Linked DNA regions of Rhinolophus ferrumequinum. The protein of the gene in region 1 binds, or shares a complex with, the protein of each later gene. Links are inferred from orthologs where the notes say so. Each region holds a gene or a part of one and is shown on either strand. Other genes may lie near its edges.

Evidence for each region.
Region 2: the proteins of STAP1 (region 1) and LAT2 are in contact, whole or in part, in a crystal structure (PDB 3MAZ), measured with the Homo sapiens proteins. The link is inferred for Rhinolophus ferrumequinum from reciprocal best matches to the Homo sapiens genes STAP1 and LAT2. Residues at the interface, in NP_001304698.1 of Homo sapiens: Arg184, Arg203, Pro204, Gly205, Ser206, Ser212, Ile215, Gln217, Ile219, Lys225, His226, Tyr227, Lys228, Glu239, Leu240, Glu241, Tyr255, Phe256, Glu259, Thr260, Arg261, Asn263, Leu264; in NP_054865.2 of Homo sapiens: Asn134, Ser135, Tyr136, Glu137, Asn138, Val139, Leu140, Ile141, Lys143.

What each region holds. Positions count from the first base shown.
Region 1 is NC_046288.1:26,700,138-26,704,051, forward strand, and holds the start of STAP1 (signal-transducing adaptor protein 1), read left to right. Parts: upstream 1-976; 5' UTR 977-1,049; coding exon 1,050-1,169; intron 1,170-3,914. UniProt on the Homo sapiens protein: In BCR signaling, appears to function as a docking protein acting downstream of TEC and participates in a positive feedback loop by increasing the activity of TEC.
Region 2 is NC_046290.1:93,769,474-93,773,387, reverse strand, and holds the start of LAT2 (linker for activation of T-cells family member 2), read right to left. Parts: upstream 3,004-3,914; 5' UTR 2,628-3,003; intron 1-2,627. UniProt on the Homo sapiens protein: Involved in FCER1 (high affinity immunoglobulin epsilon receptor)-mediated signaling in mast cells.

The DNA.
Region 1 (3,914 bases):
TACTGCTGGAGAAAACCATGTAGTCTCTCCATTAGGAAAGGAGGATCAGACTTTCTGGCTTGCTTTGATTTCTGAGAATAGGCTGGTCTCACTGGAGAGAATGCTCAGGCAAACCTATACTAAATCAAGAGTTTTTCTGAAATATTGAGGGTGAAATAGGAAATGGTGGAACTTCTCAGAACCCCTGCAAAACAAACCAGAATCCCTTCCGATGTCCCCCACGCCCCCGCCATCATTCCTTTCATAATGTTGAGCCAAATCCAGTCTCTGAAGGACAATTCCCCACATGTATTTTGCCCCAGTGTAGCTCTATAAATCTCACTAAATAACTATAGGAACCCCCACCTATGCATCTCAGTATCAGTGATCCACAGCTCAGAAAGCATAAAAGAACAAAATTAATGTTTGAAAATGTATAGTTTTCTCTGCCAGACATATTTCGCCAAACATACCCTGGTAACCCACAAACTCAAAATAGTGAAAACTTCCATTCTCTCTTAACTGTGTTTTATACTTAGTGGACTATCAAAATAGGCATGGCATAAATAACTCCATTTTTCTAAAAATTTAAACAAAGCTTGATCCCGAAGTTTAAACAGAAATAGTCCTAATAACATTGTCCTGTGCAGTAATTTTTAGTGGAGTTAATTCAACTCATGTTTCCTGGGGATAAAAATGGACAGCAATGAAAAAAAAAAAAGGTGGAAGAAAACAAATGTGACCTTGATGTCTCCTCTAATGCACATAATCTCCACATCAGTTCCTTTCATCCTCTGGTGATGTTAATCTTCTGTTTATTTTGCTACTGTAATTCTAAGTACACGTAGGTAACCCAGAGATTGCTTTCTCAAAGTTGGTCTATGCCTGTTTTTTCTTACCTCATAAAAAGAAAAAAAAGTGTGTGTGTGTTTTTGTGTGTCCTGTTGGTGGTTTAAAACCGAGTTGGGACTTCCTCTTTGAACAGTTGCCTTTTCCTCTAACACAAGGGAGATCTCATTTTGTTTGAGACTGTATACAGTTGAAACCAAACCACACACCAACGAGAGGGTATGATGGCTAAGAAGCCCCCAAAACCAGCCCCTCGCAGGATCTTCCAAGAAAGGTTAAAGATTACTGCTCTGCCCTTATACTTTGAAGGTTTTTTATTAGTCAAGCGGTCAGAATACCAGGTAAGTCAAAGATGATAATGTTAAACTAGAAGCTTCTGTCTTCATATAACATTTATTTCATGGTGATGTGATACGACAGGGGCCTCCTTGTTTCTGTTGGGATTAAACCCTCTTCCTTTAGCTCAGAAATATTATTACAATTTTGCACAATTTAAATACAATGTATGTCTTAAACATATGTTTTATATATATATATATATATATATATATATATATATATATATATATGCATTGTATATAATAAAAAGTTTCTTATTGTCACTGATGTTAAAACAATCAATAAGCTAAATTTCCAAAGAGGTCATTAAAACATTACAGAAGATTTGGGCTTAGAAGATGAAATGTTTCCTGTCTTTTCTCTGCAATTTACCACTATGCTTTCATGATGACATACCAGTATATCTTTAAGATAAAATATTATAATTGAAATTAAACCTTCTGCTTCTATTCTCAGTGGTTTGAAGTTTATAAATAATGGTCAAATTATTTTTTAAAGTGGTAAAGGTTTGTAAAAAATTCTGAAAATGATAAAATTGATACTGTTTAACATTATGTATAATAATATGTTCTAAAAACACTGTTCAAGATAGTGACTTTAAAATATAATACTTAGGATGTTCTGTGGGTAGTGTGTACACTATGCAACATAAACACATTTACTCTAAGAAAATTCACAAAGCATTCCATATTTTTAAAATGTAAAAATGAAAACTTTATAATTAGTTAAAATGAGTGCTTTAAAATAGCAATTGTGAATAATTAATGATAAATAATTAAAATGAATGGAAGAAATGAACATGAAGTATCTGTTACTAAAGAAAAAAATCAGTAACTTAGGTCAAATTTTATGAAATTTTAATATTAACTGAAACTAGAAAAAAATTAAGTGTTTTGATAAATGCCAGAAGACATGCTTAATAGTGATAACAAAAATATATTTTGAGGATTTATTGATATTAAGGAAAAAATGTGTATTTGAAATACCTATAATAGCACATATGTCTTGCATACATAATCAGATAATTTAATCTTTGAGAGTAAAGACATGGTAATTTGTATTCTGTAATGGGTGCTAAACATGTATTAATAATATTTATCAGTTACATTGGAATGTTTTTTGGGAGATCCTATATGCTCTATTTTTCCCCCTGCCTGACCCTAAATGCTTGAAAAGTTTTACCTGATGGTTTTGCTGCTCACAGCTTGTGATCTTATACAAGTTACTCAATGTCCTTGGGACTCAATTTCCTCAACTATAAAATGGAGAGAATAGACTTGCCTTCCAAGGTACAATGCCTAGGATACACTAGGTGCTCAATGTATTCATTCAAGCAACCTCCTATGCACCAAGCAACACACTCAGTTCTGGAGTATATGAATAAAACACAAAGTTCCCTACCTTCAAGAGCAAGGAATGATGACTCCTGTACCTGATTGTTCCTGTATCTTTTCTTAGAAAGCATGCTTTGAAATGGAAAGAATAAACTATAGGCATCAATATTTCTGATGAAATTAACTGGTGTTTCCACTTGCATTCATAGCAAAGCATCTTTTACTTGTACTCGTATGTCAGGGAGAAGAGAGCAAGAGAAGGACAATAATGTCTACTAATAGAGTGGTTTCAAGGATTAAAGGGATAATATATGTAAAACACCTGGCTTACACCAAAGGTTAGATTCATTCTCTTCCCATTTCATTATTTATCATATTCTTATTAATATACTAAAATCAGTTTTGAGTTCACAAGTAATGTCTCAAAGGAGAGCCACAGTGATAAAGTGCTTGGAAATAGAAGCTATGAGATAAAGCTATGGAAAATAGTGGGATTTCTAGGCAAGTGGCTGAAAAGTGCCAGGGAACCCTTGAAAGGAAGGTGAGCCCAGGATATATAGAAGGTCATCTTTGGAGCTAATGGGCCGCAGAAAGTTGGGAGGCTCTGCAAAATGTTTAGTGAAGTCTCTACTGAAGGAATTCAGAGTATTTAAACTAGGGAATATATAACTGAGGAGTAACCTGGTCTATAAAGAGATTACATGTTAAGAGGCGTTTCTTAGCTGTTTTTGTGACAGGGCACATGTGGTGTCCCGCGCGTGGAGGGTTGTTGCGAGCGAGGAGGGCGGTGCAGGGTTAAGAAATGACAGTAGCTATGAATAGAGTGTAAGCGGGGCCAAGGGACTGCAGCCTCAAGGACTGGGCCCAAATCCAATCTGGCCTATTCCTTAGCTTTTATTAGTTAAGTAGGGAAGTAAAGGAGATAAAGCTTGTACATCTCAAGTTCTATGAATCCTAGACATCATAATAGGAAACTGATTCAAGCCAATCACCCGTGCCTGCAAGCAGCAGAACCGTAAGTCTCAGGATGTATGTACTTCCCCAAAGGACAAAACCTTTATGCATATGAAGAGATGGAGAGCACATCACTGAATCTCTTCCCTTGCAGGTTGTGGGAAGGAATGCAGCCACAGAGGCAGAGGCTTTCCTTAGCCGGGGATAGATGGGGGTCTGTGCTCACCTCTATCGACCCTGTGGATTCTCCTGTTGGTCCCCACTCGACTGAGCCTGGCTTGAGTTGTCCTCCCCCCCCCCCCCCCCACCCACCCCCCCCCCCCCCGTAGGGAATCCTACTCATCATTGGCTGACCAGCCATCTTTCTGGGGCCAAACGGAGGCATAAGGTGCAAGCACAAAGGTGTAGCAAAGTCCCTGAAAGGATCCGTTTCAGACTCTCCTTTCTTTAGGGGCAGGT
Region 2 (3,914 bases), on another chromosome or scaffold:
GTCTGAGGGGGGATGAGCCTCCTCTCAGAGCCTGGGCACTGTCCCCGCACGCAGCCTGTCCTGTGGCCACCCCAGGGCACACTCCCTCTGGAAACTCTGGCCATGGCCCAAGTCTATCTCAGGCTGTATGAAGTTGGGAGCACCTGCCTTAGAGGGAGGACTCCTGGGGCCAAATCCTGCCTGTGCCTCAGCATCTCTTGGCCTCAGTTTTCTCATCTGTAAAATGGGGATCAGTCATGTCCAGCCTGGCTCATGGCCGGGGCTTCCTGAAGCCCTGAAATCTGGTGAGGGCCTTATTTCTGGCTGGCTGATTGGAACAGCTTCCTCAGCCTCTTAACCCTTGACAACTTTGGATTTTGCTTAGGACAGCAACTATCTTTCTGCCCTCAAAGGACATTTGGGCACAGACACTCAGGGTGGGTTGCAGACATGCTCCCTGAGAGCTGGGACCCAAGTCCACCCCCAGCAACCCCAGGGTCTGCTTAAGAACCTTGGACCAAGTTCACACTCGGCCTGGGATTTGAGGCTGAGACCTGACTTGCTAACCTTTGAGGAAGGGTGGCCCTCCATGCCAGAGGACCCTGGCCACCAGAGAGAGCCCTCCTGCTTCCTGGGGTGAGCAGTATACTTGGGGATGCTCTCAGCCCTGGTCCATCTCCACCCACCTGGCTCTGGGGGAGGGTGGGGAAGGGAGCATGAGAACAAAAATTCTGCTTAGGAACGAAAATTGAATCCCAGCCTCATGGGCCTTTGGTTGCCCCTTTGTTAAATGGGGGAAATAATGACACTCTACCCGTGGGTTTGTCACATGAGGTCTGGCATTGAGATGACACATGTAAGGTGCTAGTGCAGGGCAGGGTACGGTTGGCTGTGACCTCCATGACTGGCCATCATCAAGGTCCCCATGGAAGGGGCAGGCATAGCCACAGCTTGTCAGGGCTGGATCTGGCTGGTGGGCCCTGCAGTGAACAATGGGGAGCCCTCCCCACCTGGTTCTCAGACACATAGGCCTGAGCCTCCCCCCACTGCCCCTTTAGGGCATTGGGCTGGGGACACCAGCCTTGCCTCAGTCAGTTGTCACAAACACATGAAGCATCACGTAGGAGACACCACTCCTCCTTCCCAAGGGAGGCCCAGAGGTGAGCACTCTGTCCAAAGTCACAGCCAGGACCCAAACTCAGGGCAAGCTGCCTCCAAAGGCCACACCCTTTTGCCTTTTTCTTATATTGCATTGTTTTATTTATTTATTTTTTATTTTAAGGAGGCCACAGCTCACAGTGGCCCATGCGGGGATCGAACTGGCAACTTTGGTGTTCTTAGCACCATGCTCTAACCAACTGAGCAAACCGGCCACCCCATTATATTACATTTTAAGAATCATGAAATATTTTTTAAGAGAAGCTAATTTGAGGAATCCTCCTGTGGCTGCCCCTTGTCCCTCAGACTGAATAAATCTGTCCCCTCTCACTGATTTCCACTTATGTTCTGGGAGCAGATGGGGCAGGGTGAGGGTGGAGGGAGAGGAAGGAGGCTTGCTGGCAGGACAGTCCGGCCCAGCCGCCCCAGGAGGCCCCAAGAAACCAGGCAGGGCTGGGTGGGGTGGGGAGAGAGGCTGCCACAGCCCGTGGCTCTGTGGGCCGAAATAGCACAAGGGGAAGTGGGCAGTTTTCATATGAGCAAGGTTTGCAACAAGCCGGCTGTGGGAAAGCCCTAGAGGCTGGGCTGAGTGGGCCTCAGCGTCCGAGCCTCCTGCCCAAAAGGACCTTGGAGATGATACTGCCCACTCTCCCAGCCCTTGTCATGCTGTCGCAGGCGGAAACAAAGGCCCACCAGGGCCTCAGGGCAGGCTGAGAGGTGAGGGTGGAGCGAGAGGTCCCGGCCCGAGTCTTGGAAAGGCTCCTTATGCTGGGCTGTGCTCTGGGGTCTGTTCTGTTTTCCCAAATAACCTTGGCCTTCACATAAGGCTGGCCTGAGAGGCTTCTAAATGGAGGCGTTCTCAGTGCTCAGAGGGCCTGGGCAGTCCTTGTCCTAGCACAGAGGTGGGGGCTGATGCAGGCCAGGGCCACTTGTTGACAGAGCTGGGCACCAGGATCTCCCCAGGGCCTAGAGCCTCGCGGAGCCCCAGCAGAAGGCTGGCAGGCCAGGCTGGGGAATGGGTGGGGCAGCAGGGATAGCTGCTTCCATCTGGCCTGGGCAGGACCTGGGCACGCTTGCCTGTAGAGTCTTACCCATCCTCCCATAGCCTAGTGGCCGGGATGTTAGTCCCATTTTACAGATGAAGAAACCAAGGCTCATGGCCTGGACGTAGGCAGCCACTGTCCCAGCCCCTCACCAATCTCTGGAAGTTACAGGACCACCCTGGGGGCTTCCCAGGGTTGTGCAGGCTGAACTGGAGAAGGTGAGGGCAGGAAAGTGGCCAGAGCCCCAGAAACAGGGTGGCCCTCTGAGTGTCGCAGGGCCAGTTCAGGACTGAGGCCAAAGGAGGCATTCTGACATCTTCCCACCCCACCCAACGGGTCGCCAAGTGCTCCTGCTGGGCCAGCGGGGCCACTCTAACCCCTAGGGAGTGGGCACCTCAGGACTTCTGCCCCAGGGCCAGCCTCCAGGCATTCTTGGGGAAGGCTTACCTGAGAGTCGGGGGCTCTTCACGGCAACCACCTCATCCTGAGCCCACACACCTGCCCGAGCTGACGCCAATGTTGCAAACACTGGCGGGCAGCAAGCAAGACTGCGGGCTTCCTGTCAGCCACTGAATCATCCCTCACATCCGCTGCCCTGCCGGACAGGCTGTGCTGTGAATAGGCGGAGACACACACGCACACACACACAGAGGCAGAAAGAGAAAGAACGCGACAAACAGGCACAGAGAGAACAGAAAGACAGGGACACACAAACATACACACATTAAATACACATATGTAAACACGAGTCACAGGGGGCGGAAGACACACACAGGAACAGGGAGACAATAAATGGGGGTGTTCACACGGTCACACAGAGAGGGGGGAGGAAGACATGCAGAAACACACACTTAAGAACACACACAAACACAGAAATACACACCCACGCTGTAAACCCCCCCCCCCCCCCAGTTACCCAGACACAGAGAACCAGAGAGAGAAAGAGACAGAGACCGAGAAAGAGATACGCAGGCAGGGAGAGAATGAGGAAGAGAAATACATACACGCAACATACACAGACACACAGAGGGACAGAGAGAGACAGGCAGAGGTTGAGCCTGAGATCAACCAAGAGACCAGACTCAGAGGGAGAGTGAGACACAGGAAGACAGAGATCCTCAGATGGTCAGAGACACACAGAATGAGGGGGCCAGAGACAGACAGACGCTCAGAGAGCAAGAGTCCCAAGAATGAGACACACAGTACACACACATACATAGAACGGGGGACCTGGTAGACAGGGCAGACAGACAAACGGCTCAAGACAGAGACAGCCGACAGAGGAATGACAGCCACAGGCATTGGTGGGAGCAAGACAGAAGCCAAGCTGAAGGACAGAAGGACAATCACACTCCTCCTGGGAGCTGCATCTCATCCCCCCCATTTTCCAGATGAGGCTCACGGAGGCACGGAGCAGGGTGACAGCACGAACAGTGAGGTCTCAGCCCCACTCTGACCGCTCTGTGCCTGTGGCAGCCTTTTCCCTCATTTGGGGAAGGTGCGATGTAAGGTCTGGAAGGCACAGCTCCCTGGGAGAGACAGGGAACCCCATGAGTCATGCTGGAGTACTCATGCTGCTGGCCATTAGTAACTTGACCAAGGCCATGGAACTATTAGTGGCACCCCACTCACCAGAGACCCCCAGGGAAGCCCTCGAGGGCCCCCCCCCCCCCCCCCCGACTCCGCATCAGTCTGGCACTTCAGAGCCCGGTCTCTCTAGCTCTGGTGGCCCCC